Linked DNA regions of Rhinolophus ferrumequinum. The protein of the gene in region 3 purifies or fractionates together with the protein of the main gene of each other region. This does not show direct contact. Links are inferred from orthologs where the notes say so. Each region holds a gene or a part of one and is shown on either strand. Other genes may lie near its edges.

Region 1 (7,904 bases), on a different chromosome or scaffold from region 3:
CCGACTCTGGCCTCAGAAAGCCCCTCTGCCTTGTTTAAAGCTGAGCCACAGCCTGAGGGGTGAAGAGGAGTAGAAAATGTGAGCAGAGCTGCCTTAGAAAGGCTCAAGGCTGCCTGAGGACAGAGCTGTGCCATCATCTGTGCCATCGCTGATGGCCCTCAGAGATACAGCCAGTCTCCTTTATTGTCAGGAAACTTGGTGGAGGGTGGGCCAAGGGGAGGAGAGAGCTGTATGCTCCGCACACGCCAGACCACAGACATGTATTTCTAGGTGCTCAGCCTGGCTTTGGGGTCTCTGGAGCTGGGAGACAACAGCAAGAAATGGTGAGACTCCGTCCACCTGAGTTTCCGTGGCTCTGTTCTTGGCATGGAATCAGCAGTGACAGGAGGAGCTGCCAATCTGAACCAGGGGTTCAAGGGAGGCTGTTTGGATGTGGGGTAGCTGTGTGTGTGTGTGTGTGTGTGTGTGTTTGGTGTGTATATGAATGTCAGGGGCTGGAGAGTAAGGCAGGGGATCTCTGGTGCAGAAACCTCACTGGTGTAGGGAGTTTAGAATTCCAGAACAAATCTCTCTTCTTGCTATTTAACCCTTTCATTTCCCTCCTTTTCCCGAAAGTTGGTGCTCAGCACCTCTTCTCTCTTGAGTAGCTCTCAGAAGAGAGACAAAGGGCTCTTGAAGGAGAACCCTTGCTTACGGTGATGGAAATTCTTTTTTTCCTTTTTGCTCATTTGTGTCACATTCTTTCATCAGGCTGGGCAACTAACAGGTGCACCCCTCCCCAGGCCCCCTTCAAAGTCCCCTCCCTGCCATTTGTGTCTCTCTGATACCCAGCAGACACCATCACCCACAGGAGCTGGATGTGATTAGCAGAAACCCGTCCTGACAGCTCCAAAGAGAATCCCTCAAATGCATATTCTATTGAGTGCATCTCACTGCGGCTGACAGCAGCTTTATCAATTAAATTCCACATTCTCCGTCTTCAGAGATGCCATGAATTTCCCTACCTAATAAATCACAGGCCCCCAGTTATTGTTAAATGTCCCATCAGTCTCTAATAAACTCCCTGCCAACAGGGGCAGGTTATTTATTATGCTGCCTGGACAAAAATGAATTGGGCCCCGGTCTCACAAGAAGAGCAAACGCGAAGCCTTTCTCCCTAAAGACTGAGGCTGTGGCATTAAACGGGGCAATTAATCAATGTGAGCCTTGGGCAGAGGGGCGTCTGGTCTGGAGAGAGGGAGGATGGCCTGGGGTTCTTGTCTGAAAGCCAGCCAGGCAAATCCCCAAGGGGAGAGGTGGCTTCACAGAGTGCAGGGGGCCTTTGCTCTGTCTCCCCCTCTCCTGAGTCCTATGTGAAAAGGTACTGAAGATATGATCACCCCATAGGCCATAGGGCACATGTCGAAACAGTTATTCTCCTGGTTGGGAGGTAGCCACTTAGGATTGAGCAGGGTCATGAAACACCAAATTCTGTCCCGAAGGCCAGATTCTATTCTGTGATAAACTTTATATATAACTTAAGTTTATTGATGAGGCTTATCCATTGGGCAGACAAACTGAAAAATGTAGGAGGGAAAGAGAACTCAGAAACACGTGCTCAGTCACTGTTTGCTGGATAAGCAGCATCCGTGTAGCACTGGAACGCAACATACCGACACCTACAAGACCCAGGAGATGTTAGGTGTAAAGTAGGTCTTGCAGTTACCTGCCACAAATTAGTTCCCAGACTTCCATGATGCTCCATGTTCTGCAAGTTAAAATCCAAACTCAAACCCCACTCTACATTTCCAACTGTATTTCTCTTTATTGCTACGTAACACTACCTCTCTTTGGGAGAGCACAACACACTCATTTTGTCTTCCTCACAGTGGCAGACAAGGTCTTCCATCATGTGGGACCAATATATCTCTGCTGCCTGGTTTCCTGGTAACTGCAGCCATACTTGCCTCCGTTCACACCAAAGATCTTGCCTTCCCTAAACTACTATGGTTTCTCCTGCTTCCACGCCTTTGCACAAACTGTTCCCTTTGCTCAGAATATCTCCCTAACAGGTCTGCATGGTAAACTCTCCTTCCACCCCCACTGCCTGGTGAACTCCTTATCTATCCTTCCAGCTCAGAAAATCAGCCCCCAGGGCTTCATGGGACTTGAGCTTTGTCTCCAGGTCTTGGCAGAAGTACTGGACTCCAGGGATTTAGGGAAGGAAGGATCTGTGCATGGAGTTTTTCTCATAGTTTCATGCACATTTTAAACCACTAATTTTGGGTGCGGATGAGAAGGGCACAGATGAGCTACTGTTCTCTGAATACCAAAAGCTGTTTTCCTCAATTTCTCAGAAATTGTAACTCTCCCCCACATGACAGCCACACTTTGAGCAACTAAGGCCCTGAAAAATGTCAGTACTGCATATGATTTTACACCCCCCTGTGCTATTTGAGTTTTTCCTCCTTGATCAGTGCCACCTACTTGCATGTATCTCTCTCCTTGAGGGCAAGGATCTTGTTTATTTTGTGCCATGTTTGTATCTCCAGCATTTGGCTGATTTGTATTAGGTGTTCAGATTTTTCTTGAAAGAATGAACAGAGATGTTTGTGTACTGAATGCAAGTAATAACGTTGCCTACCTTTTGTTACCTCGAGGGTCAAATGAGTAAAAAGTGGCTACAAAGACCTCTCCTTCCCTTTCCATTCTCCCACAGATCCTCATACCCAGGGGGGGCCGTCTTGTGTCTTGCATCTAGTCTTTTATGTACATAGTTTTCCTTCCCTCTGGGCCCAGAAACCTCCACTGCAAAATGATTGGATAGGACCATTTGAACCTCAACATCTATTCTGAGTCTAAGTCTTACTCCCACTTCTTCGGTTCACAGGAAGTGTTACCGAGCAAAAGGTTCAGCTGCTCACTGCATGAAAGCCAAAACTCGAGAGTTGAGGTTGGTGGGAAGCAAAGCAAGTTTTATTCCAAACTGCCGCATTAAGGGAAGACAGTGGACTCTCTGTCACAAAGACTGCCTTCCTCTATTAATATCGCCAAAAGGTTTTATAGACACGCAAGGAGGGGCTGAACAAAGGAAGAAGTTAGCCAGGCAACTTCGATTCCTAAAGGCTGGTCAGCCCCAGGGTCAGGAGTGAATCCCATACAGATGCAAAAACCCCTCCCAAATTACGAGGCCAGGTCTGCACACTGGACCGAAGTAAACAAAACCATTGGAACTGGTATGCATAGTAAATGCACAGTAAACAGAGTCATCAAGTTTTGGTGGGAGGAGAGGAAAGCAAAGAAAGGGAAAAAGAACTTTCGAGAAGTCCCAAGCCAAACCACTGTCAAATCGAATTACATCAGAGGTTTAAATTTCAAAAATATAAGATAGAGGGTCACTGTTAAGAATCTTTACTTCCTCTAGCTCCCAGGTACATGAGGTGAGGAAAGGCTTTCCAGGTAGACGGAACATCATAAAGAGGCTGGGGTCCCATTGCAATTTTATCCTGGGGGAGGCTGGGAGTCAGACAACAGTCCACCTGGTTTCTGTGCATGTTACTAACACACCTTACCTAGTTATTAAATGGTCTCTTACCTTTGTGTTTTATCTTTACAGCACTAAAAATTATGGTCACCAACATTATTGCAATTTTTAACTACTGATGAAAACATTTTATTGATTTTGTGTTTTTAGCTATGGCATACAATTTATTCCCAGTAACATTACTGTAATATTTGTGCCCATAAAACATCACAACCAACAAATGCAATAACAGAATGCTGTTAAAACAAAAAATATTCTTTTCTGGAAAGTTAGTCTTTTTGTTTCTTTTGATATGAGAGCTGGTTCTTCAACAGTGATTGGTGTGATTTCTACAGAACCACTCCTGTGTGCAGGGAGACCCAGCAGGGATTTTTGAGCGAGAAAGTGTCAGCCATTCAGTGTTTATTAGGTCCACCGAGGACCTGCTGCTGGGCTGGAGAGCCTCTGGTGACAATATTCCCTTCATTGAGAAGCTCATAGTTTATTTAGTGTGAGGGACAGACATGTAAACAAGTAAATAGAACATGGTAAGAGCTAGATTGTAATTATTTATAGTGTGAAATAGGAGCCTAGGGTGAGAAACAAAAAAGATTGTCAAAAGGAGCAGTACCTGAAGCTGGACCCAAACAACCTAAGATATCCAATTAAGAAAAATCACTCCAGCACCTGGGGATGGGTGGGGGGTTCGGGAAGGGGCGGTGGGTGGCGGGAGAAAGAAACTGGGCAGGGAGACCATTCAGGAGGTTGTTGGAATAGTGAAGATGATGAAGGGGCCAAATAGGACAGATGCTATGGAGACCAGAGAAGATGAATGAATGAAATATTTGGAGACAAAATTACCTGCGCTCAGTTAATTGTTAGGGGAGAGGGATAGTAGAAGGTGAAGTCTAGAGTAACTGCCAGGTTTCGGATTTGGGGATTAGGTGGATAAAAGAGGTGTGGTACTAAAAGGAAGCCAGTACTCCGCCTCCCCCTTAATCCACCTAATGGGAGTTGTCAGTTCCGTTCCTGGTTCCAATTCAATGTACCTTTATGCGAGTTCACCGTGTGCCAGGTACTGCTAGGGGCTGGGGACGCAGAATTGAATCAGGCAGTCCCGCGGGCCGACGGATACCCGCCCACGTGTCAATCCCGTCTCGCTATACTCGAGGCGCTGTCTGTGGGCACAGAGAAGGCCGAGGTGGAGCAGGAGAGGAAAGGGGCGCGGGAAGGCGACCGCGGGCCACAGGCACGCGGGCCGGGAGCGTGACGCGCTGCGCGCATCACAATGACAGCGTTGTAAGGTTGGCGACGCAGGACGCAGGGCTGAGACCCTCCCACCGAGAAGCTGGAGGCGGGCCCCCCACAGTGAACCCTCGGTGCCCTCTGCAGGCCGCAGGCGGCGACACACCGGTAGCCTCCCCTTTTCTCTCCTCTTCCCGCCTTGCGCAGGTCACAATTTTTCGTTGGTATAGCTGTTTCCCAGTCTTTCTAAGCCTCCGACTTCCGTCCCCGGTTCCCCACCTCTTCCAGGCCACGCTTGTCCGTGTCCGCACGGGAAGCGTGCTAATAAAGTTTTTCCTCTTCTCGCGCTCAGACTCCCCGCCCAGCCTCAAGTACCGCGAGATCTGGCGGCGCGGCTGCCATGGCGGCGGCGTTGGAAGCCCCAGCGGCTTTGGCTACCGTGGAGACCGTTACGCCCGCGGAGCCTATGGCGGCCCAGGTCTCAGCCCCGGAGCCCACCCCCGGGCCGGCGCGGAGCCTGCGGACGGCTCACGACGTCAGCGGCCCGCGGACCCGCACGGGGGACGTGCTGCTGGCCGAGCCCGCGGACTTCGAGTCGCTGCTGCTGTCGCGACCGGTGCTGGAGGGGCTGCGGGAGGCCGGCTTCGAGCGGCCCTCGCCGGTGCAGCTCAAGGCCATCCCGCTGGGGCGCTGCGGGCTCGGTGAGGGCGGGGGCCCTGGGGAGGCCGAGGGACGGCGGCGGCGGCGGCGGGGCCCGGGAGGGGCCCCAGTGCGGGGTCAGGCTGGGGCAAGGTGCTGCAAGCATTCGAGCCTCAGTTTCCTCTTCTGTGAAACGGAGGCGCTGTATTGGTTGAGTTTGACGATAGTTAAGGCTCTTTCCACACTGACAAGTGGTTCACGTTTGAGAAGATGAACGGTAGAGGTTCAGGGACGAGGCCCATTTCTGGATACGTGGCCATGCGTTTCTGAGAGTGAACTGAAAAACGAAGATGCTAACTAACTAGCTGATTTCTGGAGACCCTTCTAGCTCTGTGATTCATTATTTGGTACCTAAGCTTCTACAGTCAGTACTGGCCAGTGATAATGTTTTTTTCCCTTGCAGATTTAATTGTTCAAGCGAAGTCTGGCACTGGGAAAACCTGTGTATTCTCCACCATTGCTTTGGACTCTCTTGTTCTTGAAAACTTAAGTACCCAGGTGAGTTCAGCTCAAAGAACCCAGAGGAGGGGGTATTCTGTGCATTTTACCACAGGTCAGATGAAATACCAGTAGCTCCTGAGAGAGAGGCCGTGAGTTTAGTGAATGATTGAGTTAAGCCCTATGAAAAGTATAAAAAGGAGACAGTAAGGCCATTGAGTGGTGGTGCTGAGGATGCTGATCAAGGATCCATTCTTAGTGTTAGAAGTGTGGACTTTTCTATTACTACTGCATCTTAAATAGAATGTCTGTCATGTGTGTCAGTTTTGTCATCACGTACTTGAGAATACGGGGAGAGATTCTCTTTTACTTGCTGATCAGAAGAATGTGATGAGATTTAGCGTTTGGCCTGGTTCAGAGTGGTGTGGTGCCCTGGCTGTTGCTGGTAACTGCCCGTGGTTCTTACGACTCTGAATGTCATTGACCTATGCTCTGGGTTCTCATGGCATAGATCTAAGACGGCCTTACTCAAATTAACAGGAGATTTGGGTTTGGGGATCATTCAACAAAAACTTGCTGAGTTCGTATTATGTATAAACAGTATGCTAGGCATGGGGGATACAAAGCTGAATCCAATATGATCCTGATAGTTTTCCTTTGTGGTTTAGTAATTATGACAGACTGTGTTTCAAGCTCTCAGTCGTATATATCTGATAATGATTCTTCAACAGTGTATTTTAGCCCGGGTACCATAGGAAATCCTTCTACTTTCCAAGGACCTGCGCTATCCTACTTGTGAATTGAGATGTATTTGAGATTTTGCCTTGTGATAATTTGGCAGCAGGTCAGATGCCGAAACCCGGAATAAGATCCATAAATAAAATTTGTATTTTTGATTTTAAGATTTTTGTGTATCAAAGTAATATCTATTCATTTTTGAAAATTGGGAAAATTCATAAAAATGAAGAAGTACCAGAAAACAAAGTATAATTTCACCTATCCAGAGAGGAACTGCTGTTAACAATTCTGGCATATTTTCTCCTAGTCTTTTTTTTTCTTAAATAGTTTTTTTTTTTTTTTTCATAGTTGAGACTATGAAGTTTCACCTCTTCCTCCTGCCATAGTTTTATTGCAGTGTTCTCACTGACTTCCAGCATCTTCCATGACCTAGCCCCTGGAGCTAGGTCTTTGCCCCTTTCTTCCTGTGTAATTTGTCAGGCCACAGGGACCCCTTTGCTGGTCGTCAGACCCACCAAGAACACTAATGTCTTAATGCCTTTGCATTTGCTGTTTCCTCCTCCTGAAAACACTCCCCCACAGGTATCACACAGCCAGCTCTACTCTGTGGATATCTGCTCAAATGGTATCTCCTTAGAGGGGCCTTCCTCGATCACCTCATTTAAAATAACTTGTTGAGTTGCTTCTTTCTCTTTTCCCTGTTTGATTTTTCTTCATAGCACTTTTCGTTACTCGCCATTATTTGTATATGTCTGTTTATTGTATATCTTCTCATCATTCAAGAACGAAAGTGCCATGAGAGCAAGGACTTTACTCTTAACTGTTGACTCCACAGCAACTTGTATGTTGCCTAGGTACTTATTTAATGTTTGTTGAATGAATGCACGAATAAATGAATGGAATAGTTTCTTTTGTCCATAAAAGCTCATTTGAAATGATCGTTTAAAGGAAAGATAGTTCGTCGTATAATGAATGTGCCACTGACTCATTAAAGGTATATTTTACGTTTTCTTAGATTTTGATCTTGGCTCCTACAAGAGAAATTGCTGTACAGATACATTCTGTTATCACAGCCATTGGAATAAAAATGGAAGGCTTAGAGTGTCATGTCTTTATTGGAGGGACTCCATTATCACAGGACAAAACTAGACTTAAAAAGTGTCATATTGCCGTTGGATCTCCTGGTAAGATATCAATGCCTGTTCATAACTGGGGCTTTTAGGAACTGAACACTTTTAATATAACAATAATATGAGACTCTTTGATAACTGTGATGATTATT
Region 2 (6,868 bases), on a different chromosome or scaffold from region 3:
TTGGCAACGTGGGTTTGTATCCTGGGAGGCTCTGCCACTTACTGTTTGACCTACACAAGTTACTTAATACCTCTCTGCCTCAGTTTCTCCATCTATGAAATGGGGGTAATAACAGTACCTACCTAATAAGACTGTTGTGATTATTTTATATAAAAAAAGCTTAGAAGTGTGCCTCCCACTATGTATACACTAAGTATTGCTATCACCATCGTCATCATCATCATATTACCTGCTTGCTTGTGAAAAGATGGAGTTTCAGGAAGAATAGGTTTGGGGATGGGATGAAGATCATGAATTCAGTTTTGAACATGTTAAGTTTCTATTGGACATCCAAGTGAAGACGTTAAACATACAGCTGGACATCAGCAGAGTTTAGCAGGAAGATCAGGGCGAGAGAAATATATGTAGGAACTGGCGACATATATAGACAATATCCAAAACCACAAAACTAAATAAGGTCCCTCTAGGGCAGGGGTGTCCAAACTTTTTTCAACGTTTTTCACCAAGGGCCATATTCGGTAAAATACACAAACAGCCAGGCCACTCACTCGAGGTGAAGTACATATGGCCTCACCTGGTTTATTTAAGTAAACTAAATATATTTTTGGAATTTGCTGTGGGCCAATAAAAAATGGATTGCGGCCCACTTTGCCCGTGGGCCGCAGTTTAGACACCCTTGCTCCAGGGAGTGAATACAAAATAGCTTCGAGGACTGAGCCTGGGGGAACTCAACATTTTAGAAGTTGGGAAGACAATGAGGAACCAGCATCCTTCTTCCAGGAGCGGCATCCTGGATATAATAATAAGGTGGTTCAAGAAGAAAGGAGTATTTAGCTGTTTCGAATGATGCTCAGAGATCCAGTAAGATAAAGAATGACAAATGATCATTGGATTTTACAACAAAGAGGCATTGGGAAGCCCTAATAAGAACTGTTTTGAAACAGTGGAGATGAAAATCAGGTGGAATAAGTTCAAGAAAAAATGGGAGTAAATGAATTGGAAACCACAAATATGGACAACTCTTCAAAGGAATATTGTTGCAAAAAGGGATAGAAAAAGAGATGCATCAGTAAACAAATAGATGATTATATGAGAAAACATAGGTAAAGCACTGAGAATAATATGCCTGGTACATAGTAGGCACAAACACCAGCCAAATACAGATAGATCTAAACTTGTGTTTATCCAAGTCTTTGACAAAAATGTGGACCAAGAAGTGCCCTAAAACTTGCTACTAGAGAATTAACAAAGGAGTTTGAATAACAAGCTTTTGAGTTGCTAAAATACTTTTGATAATGTGAGAAAATGTGTTAGAACTCAATGAACGCAACCTCTTAATTTTTTAGAAAACAAAAGTTGAAAACAGAAAGCCAAAAAAACAAACAAACAGTAAGCCAAGTTGACTTGCCCAAAGTTACCAAACTAATTCACTGAAAAACCAAGAGCCAAAATTAAAACCTAGTTCTCCTACTTCCTATTCTGGTTTTCATTACATTTTCTTTAATCTCTCCCTCTCTCTGACAGAAAGGCTGAAAATATTAAGATTGCAATTTCTGTGTTCCCTCTACTTCTGCCTGGCCCTTCTCCTCCTCCAATCTACCACAGGCTGTTCTGTTCTTGACTCTACCACTTTATTTTAATCCAATAAAAACTATGGTTGTTAAAAGGTGTTTTGGGGGAGATATAACATTTTAGTTACCAAAAATTCCACATTATTTCCTATCAAAAAAAATCTACAATAAAACACAAACCTATGCATCACATAGAAAGTAGCTTAATTTTCCCATCTGCAACTAATATAATGTGTAAGAAAAAGTTCACAAGTTGAAATATCACCACATTGATACTGATGGTGAGGAACATTTACTATAACTGACTTTACAGACGTTTAAAATCAGAATATTTCAAAAACTAATAAATCAGAACACAGGATTTTTTGTTTGTTTTCTACAAAACCTTAAGGAAGTAAATCTACTTTTAAACACTATACCGTACTTTTACCACCATGATGGTAGCAGATCCATTTCTTACTTTTAGTACATGAGCCACATTGATAATATGCTGACAATGTCAATTAAAAGTAACACTTGCTGAAATATAAATTAATGTCCCCTTTTACTTTTTTTATATTTAATAATGGCTTAACAGGGGTTTTAGTACTCAGTTTTAGTGATAAGCATTCGATTTCAAACAATCAATAAAGCTGAAGTTTATCAGTTAAAAGATATCTAGCAAACCCAATCACTTTATCTTTAAAACAATACCTTTTAGATTTCAAGCTTTAAACTATAGGTTCTGATATAAATCACCTCTCACGGTTATTTTTTTTAACCCTAGAATGTGCTTCAACTTCCAGCTAAAAGCTTCCACTCTGTTAATTACCATTCTACTATTATTTTCTTAACCTATCCTCATCCCAAAAATGTTGCACATCTACACTGAGGTATATGTAACTGTGCAGCACTCTTAACTTCCTGAGTCACTAAAATGAGCTTATCTGACATAAAAGGCAGCAGTAAGAATGTTGGAATAAACGTATTTGAAAATTAATCTTCTCATTCCACTCGCTAGTAAATGCAGTCAAAATATTAGCGACTGTTCTAAATATCTAGATTTTTACCCTGGTTTTTAAATATTCTAAAGACATACCAATGCCATTTCGGCATTAATAGCACCAACCGAGTCCTAAGAGCTCCGCCGACGTTCGAATCTGAACGTGTTTCTTTTAGGAAGCTGCCTGAGTGGTCTCAACCAACACTCCACACCAAACACTGCTTTTTTCAAATCTAGCCGTGGTGTTCCAGTTTTCGACACCCTTGTTATGTGCAAATGTATTTTTCTTATTAATCAGCCGCTTGAGGGCAGAGACCTGTTTTACAGGCTGCACACCCGGGGGGACCAACAGTGCCTGGAGCTTACAAAGAATGTACCCACGCAAACTATTAATAGCACATATGAGGTAGGATTTAGTCCTTTCATTTACGATTTCATTTAGTCCTTTCAGCAGCCCTGGGGAACAGGTACTATTAATCATCCCTATTTTACAGATGATCACAATGATGCTCAGAAAGGTTGTCGCTAGCCCGGGTCACAAAGGTAGTAAAAGGGGCATAAACCAGGATTCCATGTCTGATTTGTCTGAATGCGAGCACACTTAACCACCACCAACGCGGCCTCTCAACTACACTCGTGACCACCACAGGATATCCTTTTATCTTTCATACACAGTAGGGTCGATTCTAAGCCCGGGATCAGGGGGGTCACACTGGGCAAGCCCAGAGGCCTCTAGTAAGGATGAAGACTCCTCGCTCCAACACTAAGAAGTGAAACACTCCGAACTGAGTGTTTTTGAGCGGCGAGAGGAGATGCGGAGCGAGGTGAACCGGATCGCTGTAACCCAGGCAGGGCCTCCCCTCCCCAGCACTCGAGTGCCGGAGCCAAACGCCGAGGCCGGCGGGAAACCCAGCCCGCCGGTCCCTGCCGGTTCCAGCCGGGTACTCCAGGGCAGCCCGGGGGAGACTAGCCGCGCGGCCTCCGCGGCTCACAGACAGCCCCGCGCGACTGACGCGCCCCCGGGAGGGAGGAGCGCGTGGAGATCAAAGCAGGGACCGACGCACCTCGGGCGGGAGAAGGCAGAGGGGGCTCGCCCTCACTCTGGAGCAGCGGCGGCAGCTCTTCGATGGCTCAGCAGCCGAGGGAAGCGGAGAAATGTGAGCGGCCTACTTTCGCGAGCAACCTTCGGTGAAGAAAAAGCCAAAAAGCGGCTGCAGCCCGAGCAGCGTTGAGCGTTACACCGCCCGTCGCCCCGCCTCTTCCTGTGCCCCTCCCCGAGCCACTTCCGGTGAAGGCTCCGTAGCTTGCTCTAGTTACTCCAGCTCGCTTCAGGCGGGAACGACCTCATCTCCGTTCCTCACCCTACACCACGGGGCGCGCCGGCGAGGCCTGCTTTCGGTCTCCAATAACCCAGCAGAGGCCGAGTGGCCGGTCCCGTGCCGTTTACCGCAGGGCTGCCTCCTCTGAGGTGGTAAAATGTGCTGCGAGAAGTGGAGCCGCGTGGCTGAAATGATTCTCTTCATTGAAGACCTAGAGGAGGATTATAAAATCCTTTGCCTCTGCTCCAGGGCGTTTGTGGAGTAAGTAAAAACGTCTTCCTCTTCCTTTCTAGCACGATCATTTCCCAGAAATGTAGGTGTTGCAGACTATTTGTAACTGCTCCCTGGAACCACGGACAGAGTATTTGACCCTTAGGCAAGGTGATGTTTAAGAAAAAGGGGTAAAAGTCCTCAGACTTTACGGAGTGGTCCCCTACTGCAGTTAAGTGAAGGAGTAAATCTACTTTGTAGGCTGTTAGGAAAAAAATGTGGTGGCTTATATATGTAATTTTATTTTCATTGTAAATACAGGGGCATTTTAAAATTGGGGGAAAGTGAAATGTAAAATGAAATCTCGTTAATGGATGTGACATCACAAGGTGATGGTTTGAAAGATGAGTAACTTGTGTTGGTTATCGTCATTTTTAAAACCTTAAGATTTATTAAAGCGCAAAAGCACACACATAGAACTTGTAATTACCTAAGGTAAAAGATTTAACTAATCACATCCGTTTTTGAGCAGTCTTTATCTTTGGAAAATATATGTTTTGGGTTAAAATTTTCATGCATGGAAGATAACTAGTGAGTAGGAAAACTGCCTAAAGAATTATATTCTAGGGATTGTTTTCTTTATATTCGATGTGTGAGTTCAGCCACTTAATTTTTGCTCATCTCTAAAACAGGTGTATTTACCATAATCATCTCACAGGCTTATTGTTAGATTCAACTTGTAGAAGTGAATTTTAATGTAGCTTAATGTAGTAGAATTTAAGTTTGAAACAGTGCTTCATCATTTGTTTTTGTGGGGTAATCTGAAAATCCGATAGAAATTAAACACTATGTTATATTTATGTGAAAGTATTGACATTTTTGTATTCACGTATGCATGTATTCATTCAGTCAACAAATCTTAGTTGTGCTTCTTTGTATTATGTACGAGTAGGCACGGGGGTACAAGACACAGCCAGTCCCTACACCCTTTGAATTTACTTTCTAGAGAAGGAGATCAATATTAAGACAACTGTTACATAATTATCTGATTAATTATAGTTATAAGTGCTATGGAAGAGAAGTACAGGATGCTGTGGTGGCAGAAACCTAACCTTTCTCCACAGATGACAATGATTTCTTTAAGGAAGTACAGTAGCATTTGAAAAGAGGTCTAAAGTGTGAATGGAAATAAACTGGGATATGTTTATTTAATGGAGGAAGCATTCCCCAATCAGAACTCTCTGAAAGCCTTGAGAAAGCAAAAGAAAGCCTGTGAAAATAAAACAAAATGACTGGGAAAGAAAGACAGAAGATAGGGTTCATGAAGTAGATAGAAAATAGGGTTAATGAAGTAGGCAGGATCAAAATATGCAGAGTTTTTTGGAGGACGGGATCATTTTTAAATGATCATTACGTTTTTAAAGATTACTCTAGCAGCAGGGTGGGGGATGGTTTAGAGAAGGAGAACCACTTAAAAAAACCATTTTCCAGGCAACAGATTATCGTGGCGTGGATAAGGATTGGTGGCAGTGGAAATGGAGAAAGGAGGAAATATAGGAGAGAAATTGTTGAGTTTAGGGGATTGGATTGGATGTAGGGGAATGAAGGAAAGGTAAAAGATGGGAAAGAGGAGAGTAGGTCAAGGGTAACTCCCTGGTTTCCAGCTTATATTGATGTGTTTCACTGAGATAGGGGTCACTAGTGAGTCATGGGTTTTGGGGGGTATAGCAGAAGATAATAAAAAGATAATCAACTTACTGTGTTTTGATTTTGGAGTAGCTATCAGATATCCAAGATTAAATGTCATAGGTACTTAAATATATTGGTTTGGAGCTCTAGAGAAGTCTTAAAACCTTGAGCCATTCTAGTATAGTCATTGAAGCCATTGATTTAGCACTTGGGGCGGGGGTTGGGAAGAAGTGGGATCCATCTTTGAGGAATTCCAACATTTTGTGAAGATTAAAAGGGGAGGAAAAGGTAGAAGACAAGCTCAAGTATACTGTCACCAAATGTTTGAAGAAAGGAGTACATTGGAAAGCTGATGCAATATCAAGCAAATTGAAAACTAAAAAATATCCACTTATAATTGGCAGGTTTTTTTAATAAAAGCTACTTGCTGAGTGCCAGGCACTAATTGTTTTACACTTCATTCTGTTTTTTTCCCCATGTAAGCATCCCAGCAACACCCTGAGATATGTCTTGTAATCTTTATTTTGTTCTAGTAGAAAACGTAGTCTCAATAATGGCCTTTTTAAAAAAAAATCCCAGTCAGGTAAGTGGCAGCCCTGGAGGTCTTTTAATTTGTCTAGAACATAAGTGAATCTTTCTGATTAAGGTATTTAAGTGGTCTAAAGTCACTGACACTGGTGACTCGTTAAAATACTTTAACATAATGTATTTTAGTTGAGATAGAGAACTGCTGCGGAAACTGAAGAGCCTGAATTTATCTCTGGTCATACCTATGTGACAGTGTCTAGTGGTGATGTCTGGTTTTTCATATACAGAAGAATCATAAACTCAACAAAATCATTGGATATGTCCTTTCCCACAAGTTCCTGAGCCAGAATTTAAAAGAATATTGTCCTTAGGAGCAGAATATCTATCTGGGCTTCACATCCCAGCTCTACCAATAATCAGCTGTGTGGCCTTGGACAAGTCACATAACATTTCTGTGATCTCATTTCGGCACTTTCAGAAAGGACTTCCTTTTATTACTATTATACTTGAAACTAATCCACAGCCCTTTTGCAGTAGAGAAATTGCTATTTGTACTTAAGAAATTTCCA
Region 3 (7,578 bases):
AGGGAGCTGAGCACTTACCCTGAAGAGGGTCAGAGGCTTCTTAAAGCAGTTTCAGACCAGGCTGCATTGGGAAAGCCCTTTAGGCTACAGCTTTACAAATAGGCACTGAGGCCAGAAAATCAAGCTCTCCCCCCTCACACACCTGTGGGGAGAACATGAGAGCCCTTTACCCCAGTACCCAGGGGCACAAGAAAGTCAGAGAAACAAAAAGCCTAGCAGCTCTCCTTACAACTTGTACTCTGCTACAACTACAGAACAGGCTTGCTGGGCTAAGGAAGGCGATTTCTTAGTGACCAATGTCCCCATTTAAATCTGCCCTCTCAACCAGGAGAGCAAACAAACTGACAGAAACCAGCTAACTACATGACCTGTCACTTGGCCCACCCACCCAATCTACCCCCCTCCCCCAAATCCCTCCCCACAGCCCACTCCTCACTTGATCTTCCTGAATTCATCGCAGTCACATAGGATCAAATTCATGTGCTTGTCAAAAGCCTTGAAGGTGCCAATGAAGATACGACCGTCTTGCAGGATGCACCTCATCCTGTAGTCGATGTGCTGCAGCATCTTGCTGCTCTTGCCCACGGTCTGCAAGGAGAGATCAGTGGGGATGACACTCGGCTCCTTGGGACCCACATATCCCTAGCCCTTCCTCAAAAGTCTGCTGTGGCCTTCTTTGCCATGTGTCTGTCTTTCTCAGTAGATTCTCAGTTCTGTCTTCCAGCCACAGCCCTTTGCCAGGAATCCTCCCGTGTCACCCCGTGTTCAGCCCTGACCTCTACCCACTACTATTATTCTCCTCCCCTTCAAATCATTTCGTATTACAACTGCCTTTGTTTAGGCTGTGTTTCAGGGGTGAGTGCAGGATGTCTCCAAACTAATCCAATCCACCCATACGAGATTAGTCATCTGCCACTGTGGATTCTAGGTGTGTGACTCCAGTGCTGTCACCCACATCCCATTAAAAAGACTGAGGAAAGAGCTGGAATGGGACTGGCACTAAAAATCCAATCAACCAGAAGCTTATCAGAAAGGAGCTGGTCAGCGTGGAGGTGAGAATGCAATCCCCAAATAAGTGTGCCTCCAAGACTACCTTTGGGAGGAAAGCTTTCTGGTGACCAGTGTGCTAATCAGTTTGAACACACATGGTCTTTAAGAATATGTAACTCGCTACACGTCTTAATTAACCCAATAATCTATTCTGCTTTATTACTTGGATTCCAGTATAGCTTTGTTAAAATAGACTATATACACATCACAATGCAAATTGTCAGGTGCCCCTGGCAGTTATAGTTCTCTCTAGAAATAAATGCCCTGGCATTTGATCCGGGTATCATCAGCCTCCCATCAGTGAATGGTGTGGGCCAGTCCTAACTCATCCAAGTGCCTTCAAATGCCAGGCCTGGGTATGCTGTTCACTTCTGTGAGCTTGGACAAGAACGGGTTTCTGAACCCACAAATGTGTGGATCAGAATCTTGACATTCACCCTGGAGACCCAGGTTATATGGTTCAGTCTCTCTTAGATGACTCTTATTTTTAACTGGCAGGTAATCACACAGCTTCTGGCCACAAAGATCTGAACCTTTATGGCAACATTTTTTGGTCCACCCAGCAACAACCAACTCTTACTGGGTGCTCACTGTATACCAAGAACTGTGATAAGCACTATGTATCTCATTTAAATCTCAAAATCAGTCCCATTGTTCCTAGTTTACAGATGAAGCCACTGAAGCTGGGAGACAAAATTCCCCCAAACAGTATCCTGCCAGGTTTCCCTGCTTTCACTTCACCCTACACAGAACAGCTACAGAACAAAGTAATCTTTCTAAACACAACTTAAATTCATGTCATTTTGCTCCTTACAAGCCTTCAACGACACGCCTCATCACCAGCAGGATTAAGCAGAATGTAAGCCTTTTAGTAACCATCCTCCTGCCAATTCCTCCCAGCCCCACTTCCAGCTCTTCCTTTCCCCCTCCAGCAACTTTCAATAGTGCTACCTTTCATGCTTTGCTCTCGCATCCTTTCTTATCTATAATGTCCCCTCTCATTTTCGCTGGGAAAACACCTAACAACCTTGTACAATTCTGCTCAGGAATCCTCTACTCCCTACAGCATTCTTACCCTGCTCGCCTCCCGCCATTACTTTCACTCAATGCTTTATTACCACTCTGAATTCTATTAGGTTGGTGCAAAAGTAATTGCGGTTTAAAAGGTTAAGTTGCAGAAACCGCAATTACTTTTGCACCAACCTAATATTACCGGTGTCTCCAACTACAAAGTCAACTCGGTGTAGGAAACATTTCATTGTGTAGCCCCAGCGCCTGAAAAGTCCGACGTACTCATACATACATGCTGAAAAAATGAGTTCAACTCTTCCTCCAAACATTCTCAGTCACCCTACCGTTCCCGCCACCGACTAGATCCAAGAACACTCCAGTTTCGGCCGCAAGCCCTTGCACTTTTTCCGTAACTGCTCAGACCCTCACTCCCTTCACAAGTCTGAGCCTCTTAGTAGGTCTTCCTTAGTCCTCCTGCGGCTCTAGTGCCTGCTCCGAAAACCCCGGAACACATTTCTTCTACAAAAGTTTACTTAGTTCCTACAGGATCCCAAGTACTGTGGCTACAGCGGCGTGGAGAGCCGCAGTTCCATCCTCGCCCCCACCGAGCGACCCCGGCCTTCCCCCTCAGTGCCAGCCTTCCCCTCCCCCAACCCGCCGAACGACCAAGGTCTCGGGTCTTTAGTGCCCTGACCGAGCGGCCGCGGCCCGGGCCTTCATCGCCATGAGCGGCCAAGCACGGCCTTCCCCGCCAATCAGTCCCGGTCCCCGCCTGAACAACAGACTCGGAAGCTCCCGCGCCTCCAGCCTGCGCCTCCTCACCATGGTGGCGGTTCTGATGGCTTGGATTCCCGCCGGATTCGCCTGTGGGGAGGCCTAGAGGGCCTCCAGTCGCCAGCTTCCCGCCGCCGCTACCGGAAATACGTCCGGGAGCAAAATGGGTTCGGGTAGAAAACTACTTCCGGTCCCAGAGCCCTGCCCTCGCGTTCCGCCCACCGTGCGGAAAAGGAATCTTAGAGCGGGGCGGGAGGTTGGGCTGGGCTTGGGCAGCGCTAACCAAACTGAACTCGGTTAGTTTAGGATTCTCCTTGGACCCCTTCGTGCAGGAGCTGCTCCTGCACACTGTCATCCCCCGGCCCGGTCCGTTAACTCTCGGTCCTCATCTCCCACTACTCTACCCCTGCTCTCTGCTCTATAGCCACTGTCCCGACTTTTCCGTGAACTTGCTGGACGTGCTCCTGCCTCAGCACCTTTGCATTTGCTGTTGCCTGTCTGGAATGCTAGTGGTCCAGGTACATTCATAGCTCATGCCCTCAACTTCAAGACTTAAGTTCAAATAACATTTTCCCACTGAGGACTTCCCTGGCCATTCTGTTTAAAATTGCAACCTTCCCACCCATCCCAGTTTTATTTTTCTCTTTAACACTGATCGCTAACATACTATTTTTTTTTGTTAGTTATTTTGCTGTCCCTCCCTATTAGAATGTAAGTTCCAACGTATGATTTTTTGTGTGTATTGTTCATTGCTGCAGTGCCTAGAACACTGCTTGGCACAAAATAAAGGCTTAATAATTATTTGACTCAATCAATCAATCCCATCCAGTCCCATGTCTTTTGAATGCTACCTATAGGTTCAGGCTTTTTTCAAATCTATTCTTCTAACCCTGGTTTCTTCATTTAACGCCTGGTCTTTTATATCCAGCCACCTGCTTCACATGGATGTCTAATAGCCATACTAAATTTAACGTTGAAAACTGAATTCTTGATTCTATTTTCTTCCCAATACCACTTTCTACCAGTGTTTCCCATCTCAGAAGTTTCTTGGGTTAGAAAACAAAATGACAAATTTGGTAGCATCCTTGATTCCTATTTCTCTCCCTTCTCATAAACAGCAAATCCTATGTGCCTCACCTTCAAAATGTCTTGAATCTGACTGTTGAAACGAGTTCCACTGCTACCACGCCAGTCCTAGCCACCATTATCTCTGACTTGGATCACTGAATGAGCCCCTAACTGTTCTTTGCTTCCTCTCTTGCTCTCACAGCAGCCAGAGGGATTCTTCTCTAATGTACTGGGATTTTATCAAATGATGTCATTGCCCTGCTCTCCACCTCCCAATAACTTCCCAGCACACGTGGAATAAAATCAGCCCTGCATCCCTCTCCAACCTCATCTCCTTCAACGTTCCCCTCATTCATCACAGCCACACCAGTCTCTTTGCTGTTCCTCAAAGCCAGCAAGGAAAGCCTCCACCTCAGGACCTTGTCATCCTCACACCATCCTAAGATGTATATTCTGTTGTCCTGTTTCTGTCAACCTGTAGAGGAAGAGAATGGAGGCTCAGAGAGATGAATTATCTTGCCCAAGGTGGCAGCATCAGAACAGACATATGGTACCGTCTGGCTCCTCAGCTGCTCCCAAATTACCCTGCCTCTTAACATATCACTGATGCATGCATTTTAAAAAATATTTATTTAGCACCTACTAAGGCCACGCACTATTACTGAGATACAATGTCCCTTCCCTGAAGGAGTTCATGTTTTAGTGAGAAAGGCAGACAATAAACCAAATGAATACATTCTAGAAAGTAACATTAGAGTGATATGAGAAAAATAAAGTGGGGAAGGGGGACTGAGAGTGATGAGTTGTAATGTTGGCTACATGGTCAGAGGAAGCTTCTCTGAGGATTGGCACAGGAGCAGAGACCTGAATAAAGTGAAGGACATTCCAGACATTTTTTATCAAGGGGATCATATAATATCTGCGGTCTTTGGTAACTGCTTTTTTTCACTTAGCATATTTTTAAGGTTCATCCATGTTGTGCCACATATCAGTACTTCATTTCTTTTATGGCTGAATAGTATTTCTTTGTAGGGATATGCCACTTTTGTTTATTCTGTCATCAGTTGATGGACATTTGAGTTGTTTACACCTTTTAGCGATTATGAATAATGCTGTTTTAAACACGTGTGCAAGTTTTCATGTAGACATATGCTTTCATTTCCCTTTCATGTATACTTAGGAGTGGAATTACTGGTAACTCTGTTTAACTGAGGAACTGCCAGACTGCTTTCCAAAGTGGCTGCATTATTTTACATTCCCACAAGCAGTGTATGAGGGTTCTGATTTCTCCACATCTTCACCAACGCTTATTATTGACTTTTGGATTCAACCATCCTAGGCGTGTGAAGTGGTATCTATCCAACTGTGGTTTTGATTTCATGTCCCTGGTGACTAATGATGTTGAGCATCTTTTCATGTACTTATTGGCCTTTTGTATATCATTCTTGGGTTATGTATCTTTTCTGATTGAGTTTTATGAGTTCTTTATGTATTCTAGATACAAGTCCCATATCTCATATCAGATATGATTAATAAACATTTTCTCTCATTCTGTGGGTTGTCTTTTCACTTTCTCAATAGTGTCCTGCACAAGTTTTTAATTCCGTGGAGTCTAATTTACCTTTTCTCCTTTTGTTGCTCATGCTTTTGGTAGTATTATCTAAGAATCCTTTGCCAAATCCAAGATCATGAAGATTTAGCCATGTTTCCTTCTCATAGTTTTAGTTTTTGTTCTTACATTTAGATCTTTGATACATTTTTAGTAATATTTATATACAGTATAAGGTAAGGTTCAAACTTTACTCTTTTGCAGGGAGCTATCCAGTGTCACAGCACCACTTATTGAAAAGACTATTTCTTCCCCCATTGAATAGTCTGGGCACCTTGTGGAAAATCAGTTAACTGTAGACACGTGGATTTATTTCTGACTTTTCGATTCTATTCCATTGATCTATATGTCTATTCTTATGTTAGTATCATTGCTTTGTAGTAAGTTTTGAAATCAGAAAATGTGAGTCCTCCTAATTTTTCTTTTGCCAAATTATTTTGGCATTCTGGATCCCTTGAAATTCCATGCAAACTTTAGAATCAGCTTGTCAGTTTCTACATATAAGAAAAAAGGAGTCATGGATTCGAGAGCATGAAGTTAAATAGATTATTCATTTGGCTTTTGGTAAAGTGCTCCCAAGGTTCAGTCTAGATCAGGGATCAGCAAACTTTTTCTGTTAAGGATCAGATAGTATTTTAGGATTTGTGGGCCATATGGTCTCTGATGCAATTACTCAACTCAACCATTGTAGCATGAAAGCAGCTATAGATAATACATGAATGTGTGCCTGTGTTACAATAAAACATTATTTATGGACACAAACATGTGTCACAAAATATTATTATTATTTTGATTATTTTCAACCCTTTAAAATGTAAAAGCCATTCTTAGTTCACAGGCTTTACAAAAATAGGTGGCAGTCCAGATTCAGCCTTCAGGCTGTAGTTTGCCATTCCCTGGCCTAGCGCATTAGATTTCTGTGTCTGGATTCAGGGCCGTAGCCTCACTTTCTATTAATAATAACTTTGACTTGAGTCATTTCTTTGGCTTATGGGTTCATTGAATAAATGCCATCAAAAGTTCATGTCTTTGCCCTCATATAAAAACTACACACACACATTCACATCTGTATCAATCTAGGTCCAATAAGGAGACAAAAACCACACAGTAAAAATTTAAATGGGAAATTTAACATAAAGAATTATTATGCAATGATAGGAGAGGAACTGTACCTATTGAAAGAAAACCTTTAGCTGAGGGAAAGTACTAAGGAAGGATAAACCTGAAAGGAAGTTTCCCTCCCCAAGGCTGGGGTTCAGCCCTCTTGGAGGTGTAGTCACAACCCACTGGGTGATGGAAAAGTTGGGTTAGTGGGTGCTTTGCACAGGCCAGAGCTGGTCTACAGTCAACCGACAAGCAGGAATAACCTTCTGGAATACAGGCAAGCCAAAGCTGGTAGGCAGAAGGACAAATCGAGTTGAGTATGCAGAGAGTAGGGAGTTAATGTTGACACAAAGCCTGGATCACACAGTGTCTGTGTCTGAAGGGCCTCGGGCTGATGGGCACTGCTGGAAATGGAGGCTGAAAAGCTGTAAGAACCTAATGTACTTCTGTGCACGGCTTAGGCTGGGGCAGCTATGGGTAGCTGTTGGGACCCTGGTGCACATGCACATGGAGTTGAGAAGAGGATCTGGGGAGCAGCACCCAGGCTGGGGAGGCCCTGGGCCTCTCCATGGGATTAAAATCAGGTGATCTGCTTGCCAGAAAGCCAGCCTAGTGGGGACCCAGGGTGTGTTTCCTGGGGGCTGAAAAGAGGGTGAAGGAGCAGTAGCCTAGGCTGGGCACAGGCCTGTGCTCTTTGGACGCCCTACTATGCCACCACTGCCTAAGAGGTGGAGAAGACAGAGTGGCCAATCGGTGGAGGAAGCTATGTCCTGTAGGCACCTAGCATGGAGAAACTGTGCTGGCTGACCAGTGGAGGAAAAGGGGGTACTCTCCAGGAGTCTGGTGAAAGAGCCAACTGAACCAAGAAAGAGGAACCCTTCCTCCTGCAATGTTGCTCCAGAGCTTGCTCATGCCAGCTGGCAAAGGAAAACTATTTAAAGGGCCCAGATCCACTTTCACAG
Region 4 (6,891 bases), on a different chromosome or scaffold from region 3:
CATGAAGAATATTAAGACTATTAAGAATGTTTATAGAAAATGAAATTAACTTATGTTCTCTTTGGTGGCTCTTAAAAATGATCAAATGTTTTTCTTGTTTGGATTATTTTTGATCTATTATATAAATAAATTTTCTAATACCTAACCTTGTGTAAATTCCTGAGATAAGCCCTAATTTGTTGTGGTATATAATTATTATGCCAATGCACTCTTGAGTTTTATGTGTTAATCTGAAATATTGTAGTATTTTACATTTATATTCATAAGTGAGATTGGTCTATAAGGTTATTTTTCTGTGTGTGAGTGAGGGATGCTATTTCTGACAGGTTTTGATATTAGGTGTATTCTGGCTTCATAAACAAACTGGGTAGTTTTCCATCTTTTTCTGTATTCCAAAACAGTTTTTACTTTCTATCCATTTTGACAGATAAATACTGTATAATAGAGATGACAAAGAAGAGAATGCAAATCACACAGATTATTTTGCCTCAGTAACTCTGCCACTTTTGCGGCTGGAGGACAGCCTTGATTGTGAAGCAGCAATTTGAACCAGTAGGAGGGTCAAGCGGGCCATTACTTTGGTGTTGAAGAGTGCGACTGGCTGGGCAGGCACAGAGGTGAGTGAAGGTGGTCCCCGGGAGGGAGGCCAGTGCTGAGGGAGGAGGGCAGCACAAGGGAAGATGAAAGGAGGGTTTACAATGGGCTGGAAGCACCTAGAAACAGCATCAGTTAGAAGAACTGGGCCTGAAGGTGAGGAATGCTGGCAGGCCCATTGGAGGAGGATCTGGGGAGTGAGTACCCCTTCCTTTCCAGGAAAGTTTCCAATGCTCTGGCCTGTTGGTCACTGGCTCCTATTGGAGTAAGTAACATTCTTTCTTACGCAGGGTATTTACCCTTTTGTCCTACCATCTCTCTCTCTTCGTCCCAGCCGAGGCCTACATCTAGTGATTCACATGCTTCTGAGCACAAGAGTTCAGCATGGAGGGCAAAGCAGACGGAAGCAGAGCATAGATAGACTTCACTAGCTTTGACTTTATGCCTGGGAAGAGTCCTTTACAAGATTCTCTATTTCTTTTTCAGTCCTTTCCTTCTGCTTCTCTTATAGCTCATATAGGCAGACCTATAGTACATGCTGTTTTTTTAAGGCAAAGGGAAGTGCTGTATGAAAGGCGGGGAGCAATGTGGAATGGAATTACTGGGAACTATTCAGCATTATGCTTGCCATACAGCTGAGGCCATTTTAAATGAAAAATCAAAGACATCACAGACAAATGAAATCCAGCCCATCTAAACTTACTTTAAGGTCAGTCAGAAATTCTAGGCTCTTTTTACACAAATTCTTTTGAAAATTATTTTATGATGAAAGTTATTTTAACTGATGGCAAAACTGACATTACTGTTTTATAGATTTTCCTCTCTCCCTCTCACCCATGGATGGATTAGTTAACAACCAACGGAGCAGCCACCAGCTTGACATCAGGAGGAAGATGCCAGAAGCACAGATGGTCCACAACCCAGATAATTAGAAACAACATCTACTAAGTCTTCTGTGAACGCAGAGTTTGGTTGGGCACAGCTGGGGCAGAGAACAAGCAAGCCTCCTCAACAACTCTTTTTTTTTTACCTCTTAAAATGTCAGAGGAACACTCACTCACTCCAGGTGGACAACCACCTACTCACAAGACCTTCAGAGAAGAATCCAAATAAATATTGCAGATACTCCACCCTAAAGGAAGGGGAGCATAACTCCCCCCTCCTTAAATGTGGGAAACACATGGTATAACAACTTCCTTCCAAAGAGTACGTGATGGAAGTAGGGGAGAGGAGAGTGTAATTCTACTACTGCTTCTATCAGGTGATAAAAGTCAATATCAACAGTCATAAATTATGTCGATAATATGTATGGCACTTTGCCTCTCTGATCTTCCTCCCCCAAACCCATAATCTCAGCCTATCATGAGAAAACCATCAGACAGATTCCAATAGAGGGGCATCCTACAGTATATCTGACCAGACTTCTCAAACTCCTCAAAAACTACTCTCAAGGTCATCAAAAACAAGGAACATCTGAGAAACTGTCACAGCACAGAGGAGCCTAAGGAGATAGGACAACTATATGTAATAAGGTATCCTCTATGGATGGGATCTTGGAACAAAAAGAGGACATTAGGTAAAAAGTAAGGAAATTTGAATAAACCATGGACTTTAATTAATGTTTTCAATACTGGTCCATGAATTGTAATAAATATACCATACCAATGTTAAGATGTTAATAAAAGAGAAAGCTGAGGCGAGGCATATGGGATCTTGCTGTACTATCTGCTCAATTTTTCTGTAAATTTAAAACAAGTCTAAGAAATAAAGTCTAATAATAATACTAATACCTGCAGGAGTCAAATGAAGACTAAGATGGGACAAAAGCACCTCCAACCCCTTTAAGCTTCGCAGACCTTTTAATTCTTTGGCTTTTGGACTCTTACCCTTTTGGGGCATTTACATTGCACCCAAGACTCCTTAGAGTTTATCCTACACACACCCTTCCGTACTTCCCAGGACCTTCTCCCCCACAGGCCAGGGTGATCTCATTCAGTCTAGGGACTTTAGTCACTACCTCTCTTCTGGCGATTTCTAAATCTTGTCTGGTTCAGGTCACTGTTCATCTAACTCTCTATTACGCAGCGCCCCCTAGGCGTCCAATTCAGCATTTCCAGACCCAAACCCGGATTGTCCTAAATCGGCTTCTCTCGTTGCTTGTCTAACCCACACAGAGATCAGAACCTTGGGCATCACCGTGACTTCTCTTCCTCACGGCTCCCTGCCAGTCGGTCCCTAAGTTCTGTCAACGCCTCCTGCTTAGGGCATTTTGTACCGTGTTCTCCTTTCCATCTTCTCTGTCAGACCCTGAACACTTCTGGGCTCTCCTCCCTATGTCTTTCCTTTCTTCATTCCTGTCTTTCTTTTCCATTCCTATAGCAGGTATTAATAAAGGAAAATGTAGAGATCTCCCTCTAGCAGGTACTGACAAAGGAAAATGTATAAATTCTCTGAAGCCTCCGCCTGGCAGTTTATGACTCCTCTACTGTAACTGCTTACCATGAATTCCTTTTCTCTATCTTCGGGTGTGTGTGTGTGTGTTTGTGTGTGTGTGTGCGCGTGTGTGCGTGTGTGTGTGTTTATTTACATGTTGTGTTTGAGATATAGAATCACGAGGAATTAGTAGCTGAGTTGCCACAATGTGTGTGTGTGTTTATTTACATTTTGTGTTTGAGATATAGAATCACGAGGAATTAGTAGCTGAGTTGCCACAATGTATTTACAAATATAACATACTAAGGCCCACACAAAGCCTCTTTTAAGAGCACCAGCCATTAATCCAGTTTTCACAGGGCTCATAGACCTGAGTAGTGACACAAGAACCACCCTCGAATTAGGTAACGGAGAAGCTGACATAAAATGGCTGCAGAACTCAATCAAATTTAGACCTGAAAATAATGGCGTGAGAAGATAATGAGGAAACTTTAAAAAGTGTAATGAGATCTAAAACTTGGTGTTCACGGCCGTATTGCACGAGCTGCAATAATTAACCGTTTGCCTCACACGAGCCAGCCAGGAGTCGAACCTGGAATCTTCTGATCCGTAGTCAGACGCGTTATCCATTGCGCCACTGGCCCTGAGACAATTGAAGACTCCTCGATGATGATACTTCAAGCTTATATGGCAGGGTTTCATGGGACGTGTAGTCCCCTAACGAAATTTTACGAATAACACGAGGTATTATGGGAGATTGAAACTCGTAGAGAACCAGACCCTGGGACTGGTGGATATTCCGGAGCTACGCCGCACGTCACTGTACAGCCCGCGGATTGGCAGGAAGAGCCATTCCCCATCCTTCCTCTCCGCTGAGAAGCCGTGGAAGACGCTCTGGTTGTTAGGGCGACTCGTCCCGCCTTCCGGGGGCTTTTTTCCTGGCTTTATGATTGGCTGCTAGTATCAAGAAATCCCGGCGTGGACAGCGCGAGGGAAAAGATGGCGGCGATGGCGGTCGGAGGTGCTGGTGGGAGCCGCGTGTCCAGCGGCAGGGACCTGAATTGCGTTCCCGAAATAGCTGACACACTGGGGGCTGTGGCCAAGCAGGGGTGAGGGCCTGGGATTCCGGGCGGGATGCGGCTCTGAACTCGACGACGGAGAGGGGCAGACTAGTCATCCCCGAGAGTCAGGGGTGAGGGGGTCGGAGTGGAGAAGATGAGGGCGGGAGAAACCCGTACTCCTTGAGGGAAGAAGCTTCGGGCCCTGGAGCGTCAGAAAAAAACTTACTGGGGGCGTGTGGTCTCTGACCCTAAAAGTCTGGGTTGTCAGGTAAACTCAAAAAGGGGGCGTACAGACCTCCAGGGCCCTGGAGAGCGAGTGTATTGTCTGAGAGTGAGAGGAAGTGTTACGGGGCTAGGGAGCGAAGAGATAAACCTTGAGTGGGGGAGGCATGGGTAGTACTGGGGCAGATCTGGATGTGACAGTCCTGGGAAACCAGTGATAGTAGAGTAGAAAATCTACTTGGTTTGCATTTCATCTTTTCACCTTACTCATGTTTTCCGTGGTTGTGTTTTGGGGAGAAATTGAGGCACAGTGTAGGGGAAGTGATATGCCCCAACATGAGCTGAACTCAGCAGTCCAGTCGGTTGACTGATGATGGCAGCTGAAAGGGTTGTGCAGAATCCAGATAGCCTAATCCAGTTGCTTGGATCTCTGGGCACTGCTGCTCTCTTTACATGACAATTCTGGGTCTGTCGCGGTTGTAGGTTTGATTTCCTCTGCATGCCTGTCTTCCACCCGCGTTTCAAGAGGGAATTCACTCAGGAACCTGCTAAGAATCGACCGGGCCCCCAGACACGATCAGACCTACTGCTGTCAGGAAGGGGTAGGGACCATCCCATATGCCCCTTAATTATTCTTAGAGGCAGTAACAACTTCTTCTTTATCAGTGCCCTCATTCTCCTTTCCTGACTTAGATATATTGATTAGTCCTTAGGATACAGATAACTCTTTTCTCCTTGCTTACCTGCTAAAAGCCTTAGTTTCCTAATCTGCATCAGGCTATTCTGTGTCTATGATAGAAAAAGTGTTTTTCTCTTATCTCTACTTTATTCCCTCTTAAGAACTAGAAATCAAACAAGTAAAGTGCCTAACCTCATTCAGTCTTTGTCTTTCTTGGGTGGGGGAGTGCAGATTGGAATACGCTAATTGTGGGAAAGCTTTCTCCATGGATTCGTCCAGACTCAAAAGTGGAGAAGATCCGCAGGAACTCCGAGGCGGTAAGACTGTTTGACCTCTCCACTGGATCTTTCTAAAGATCAGGTCTGTAACCAAGCTGGGTGGGTAGAACAGGTTTCCCCCCCACCCCTGTAATTCAGTAACTCTGATATAATAATGCAATTAAAGCTATATGGATTGTTAGCTCTTAAACTTTTCCTCTTAATCTCCATTCCAGGCCATGTTACAAGAGCTGAATTTTGGAGCATATTTGGGTCTTCCAGCTTTCTTGCTGCCCCTAAATCAGGAAGATAACACAAACCTGGCCAGAGTTTTGACTAACCACATCCACACTGGCCACCACTCCTCCATGGTACGGCTGAGGGCCTCTTTTCCTACTGCATATTATAGTAGTTAGCCTTCTTGTTCCTAGCCATTCAGTAAAGGGTACATTTGGTAGAAATGTAATGTCAGTACTGCCTACCCCTGTTTAAAAGTAGCGAGCAGGGAGTTATAAAATATAAAGAATATATAATTATTTATACAAATTTATACTTGGAATAGGGGACAAGACATATTTACATAAGAACATACATATAATCATAAATTGGCAAATGCATATAAAGGGGTTAATTTGAGATCTGGATCGAGATATTTTAATTGAAGGAAGCTTTCTGGACCCACTGAGTTTTAATAGAGTACTTGTTCATGTACAGTTCTGGATGCGGGTACCGTTGGTGGCACCAGAGGACCTGAGAGATGATATAATCGAGAATGCACCAACTACACACACAGAGGAGTACAGTGGAGATGAGAAGACGTGGATGTGGTATGTCTCCTTTTGCTGCTGTACGAAGGCAAAGGGTAGGGTGAGGGGAAGTACAAGGTGGAACCTGTAGGGTTGGCCTCCTTGGTAGGGTTGGCTATGGTTATTGGTGAGCCATATGTATTTGACTGTAGTTTTCTGTGTTTGACTCTGGACAGGTGGCACAACTTCCGGACCTTGTGTGACTATAGCAAGAGGATTGCAGTGGGTAAGTCCACAGGGGTCTTAGGATAGGTATTCCTTCTCTGACTTCCTGTGAATAAGAATCAGGAGTTTCATGTAGACTCGGCTGCTGGGCAATTTTGCTGTTTTTCTGTGCTTCGTAAGGAGTAAAGAGATCTTGCGCAAAAGAGCAAGGAAAGGCTTCTTTCCTAACAGTAGTTGACAGGTCTTTCTTTTCCCTTGTGTAGCTCTTGAAATTGGGGCTGACCTCCCATCTAATCATGTCATTGATCGTTGGCTTGGGGAGCCCATCAAAGCAGCCATTCTCCCCACCAGCATTTTCCTGACCAATAAGAAGGGATTTCCTGTTCTTTCTAAGATGCACCAGAGGCTGATCTTCCGGCTCCTGAAGGTGGGTGGTAGAAGGGTTCTAAAAGTGCTCCAACTAATCCTTTTGCCTTATTCCCACATGTATGATGCTTTTTTCCTGTGGGGCTGACTCTTCCTCTCTGGGTTCTGGAGAGCAATTTCAGCAAAGTTGGGAGTCTTGAGAGGAAAAGACAAATGGCAGTAGGAGCCCCAGAAACATTTCAATAGGAACCAAATCTTACGAGAACTTTGCAGAAGGTTCCATTTAAGAAGTTACAGTGAGGATCCAT

What was found.
Region 1: the proteins of SNRPB (region 3) and DDX20 purify together in Homo sapiens (co-immunoprecipitation; 4 studies listed by BioGRID and IntAct, with this or other methods). This does not show direct contact. The link is inferred for Rhinolophus ferrumequinum from reciprocal best matches to the Homo sapiens genes SNRPB and DDX20.
Region 2: the proteins of SNRPB (region 3) and TGS1 purify together in Homo sapiens (co-immunoprecipitation; 3 studies listed by BioGRID and IntAct, with this or other methods). This does not show direct contact. The link is inferred for Rhinolophus ferrumequinum from reciprocal best matches to the Homo sapiens genes SNRPB and TGS1.
Region 4: the proteins of SNRPB (region 3) and PRMT5 purify together in Homo sapiens (affinity purification with mass spectrometry; 4 studies listed by BioGRID and IntAct, with this or other methods). This does not show direct contact. The link is inferred for Rhinolophus ferrumequinum from reciprocal best matches to the Homo sapiens genes SNRPB and PRMT5.

Annotation. Positions count from the first base shown.
Region 1 is NC_046305.1:43,201,717-43,209,620, forward strand, and holds the start of DDX20 (probable ATP-dependent RNA helicase DDX20), read left to right. Parts: upstream 1-4,900; 5' UTR 4,901-4,915; intron 4,916-5,099; 5' UTR 5,100-5,147; coding exon 5,148-5,448; intron 5,449-5,849; coding exon 5,850-5,944; intron 5,945-7,637; coding exon 7,638-7,806; intron 7,807-7,904.
Region 2 is NC_046297.1:22,291,823-22,298,690, reverse strand, and holds the start of TGS1 (trimethylguanosine synthase), read left to right. Parts: upstream 1-3,861; 5' UTR 3,862-4,029; coding exon 4,030-4,133; intron 4,134-6,868. UniProt on the Homo sapiens protein: Catalyzes the 2 serial methylation steps for the conversion of the 7-monomethylguanosine (m(7)G) caps of snRNAs and snoRNAs to a 2,2,7-trimethylguanosine (m(2,2,7)G) cap structure.
Region 3 is NC_046306.1:24,784,045-24,791,622, forward strand, and holds the start of SNRPB (small nuclear ribonucleoprotein-associated proteins B and B'), read right to left. Parts: upstream 3,023-7,578; 5' UTR 2,887-3,022; coding exon 2,884-2,886; intron 589-2,883; coding exon 437-588; intron 1-436. UniProt on the Homo sapiens protein: Plays a role in pre-mRNA splicing as a core component of the spliceosomal U1, U2, U4 and U5 small nuclear ribonucleoproteins (snRNPs), the building blocks of the spliceosome.
Region 4 is NC_046289.1:73,505,518-73,512,408, reverse strand, and holds the start of PRMT5 (protein arginine N-methyltransferase 5), read left to right. Parts: upstream 1-3,881; 5' UTR 3,882-4,026; coding exon 4,027-4,136; intron 4,137-4,793; coding exon 4,794-4,912; intron 4,913-5,220; coding exon 5,221-5,306; intron 5,307-5,482; coding exon 5,483-5,617; intron 5,618-5,960; coding exon 5,961-6,073; intron 6,074-6,228; coding exon 6,229-6,278; intron 6,279-6,480; coding exon 6,481-6,644; intron 6,645-6,891. UniProt on the Homo sapiens protein: Arginine methyltransferase that can both catalyze the formation of omega-N monomethylarginine (MMA) and symmetrical dimethylarginine (sDMA), with a preference for the formation of MMA.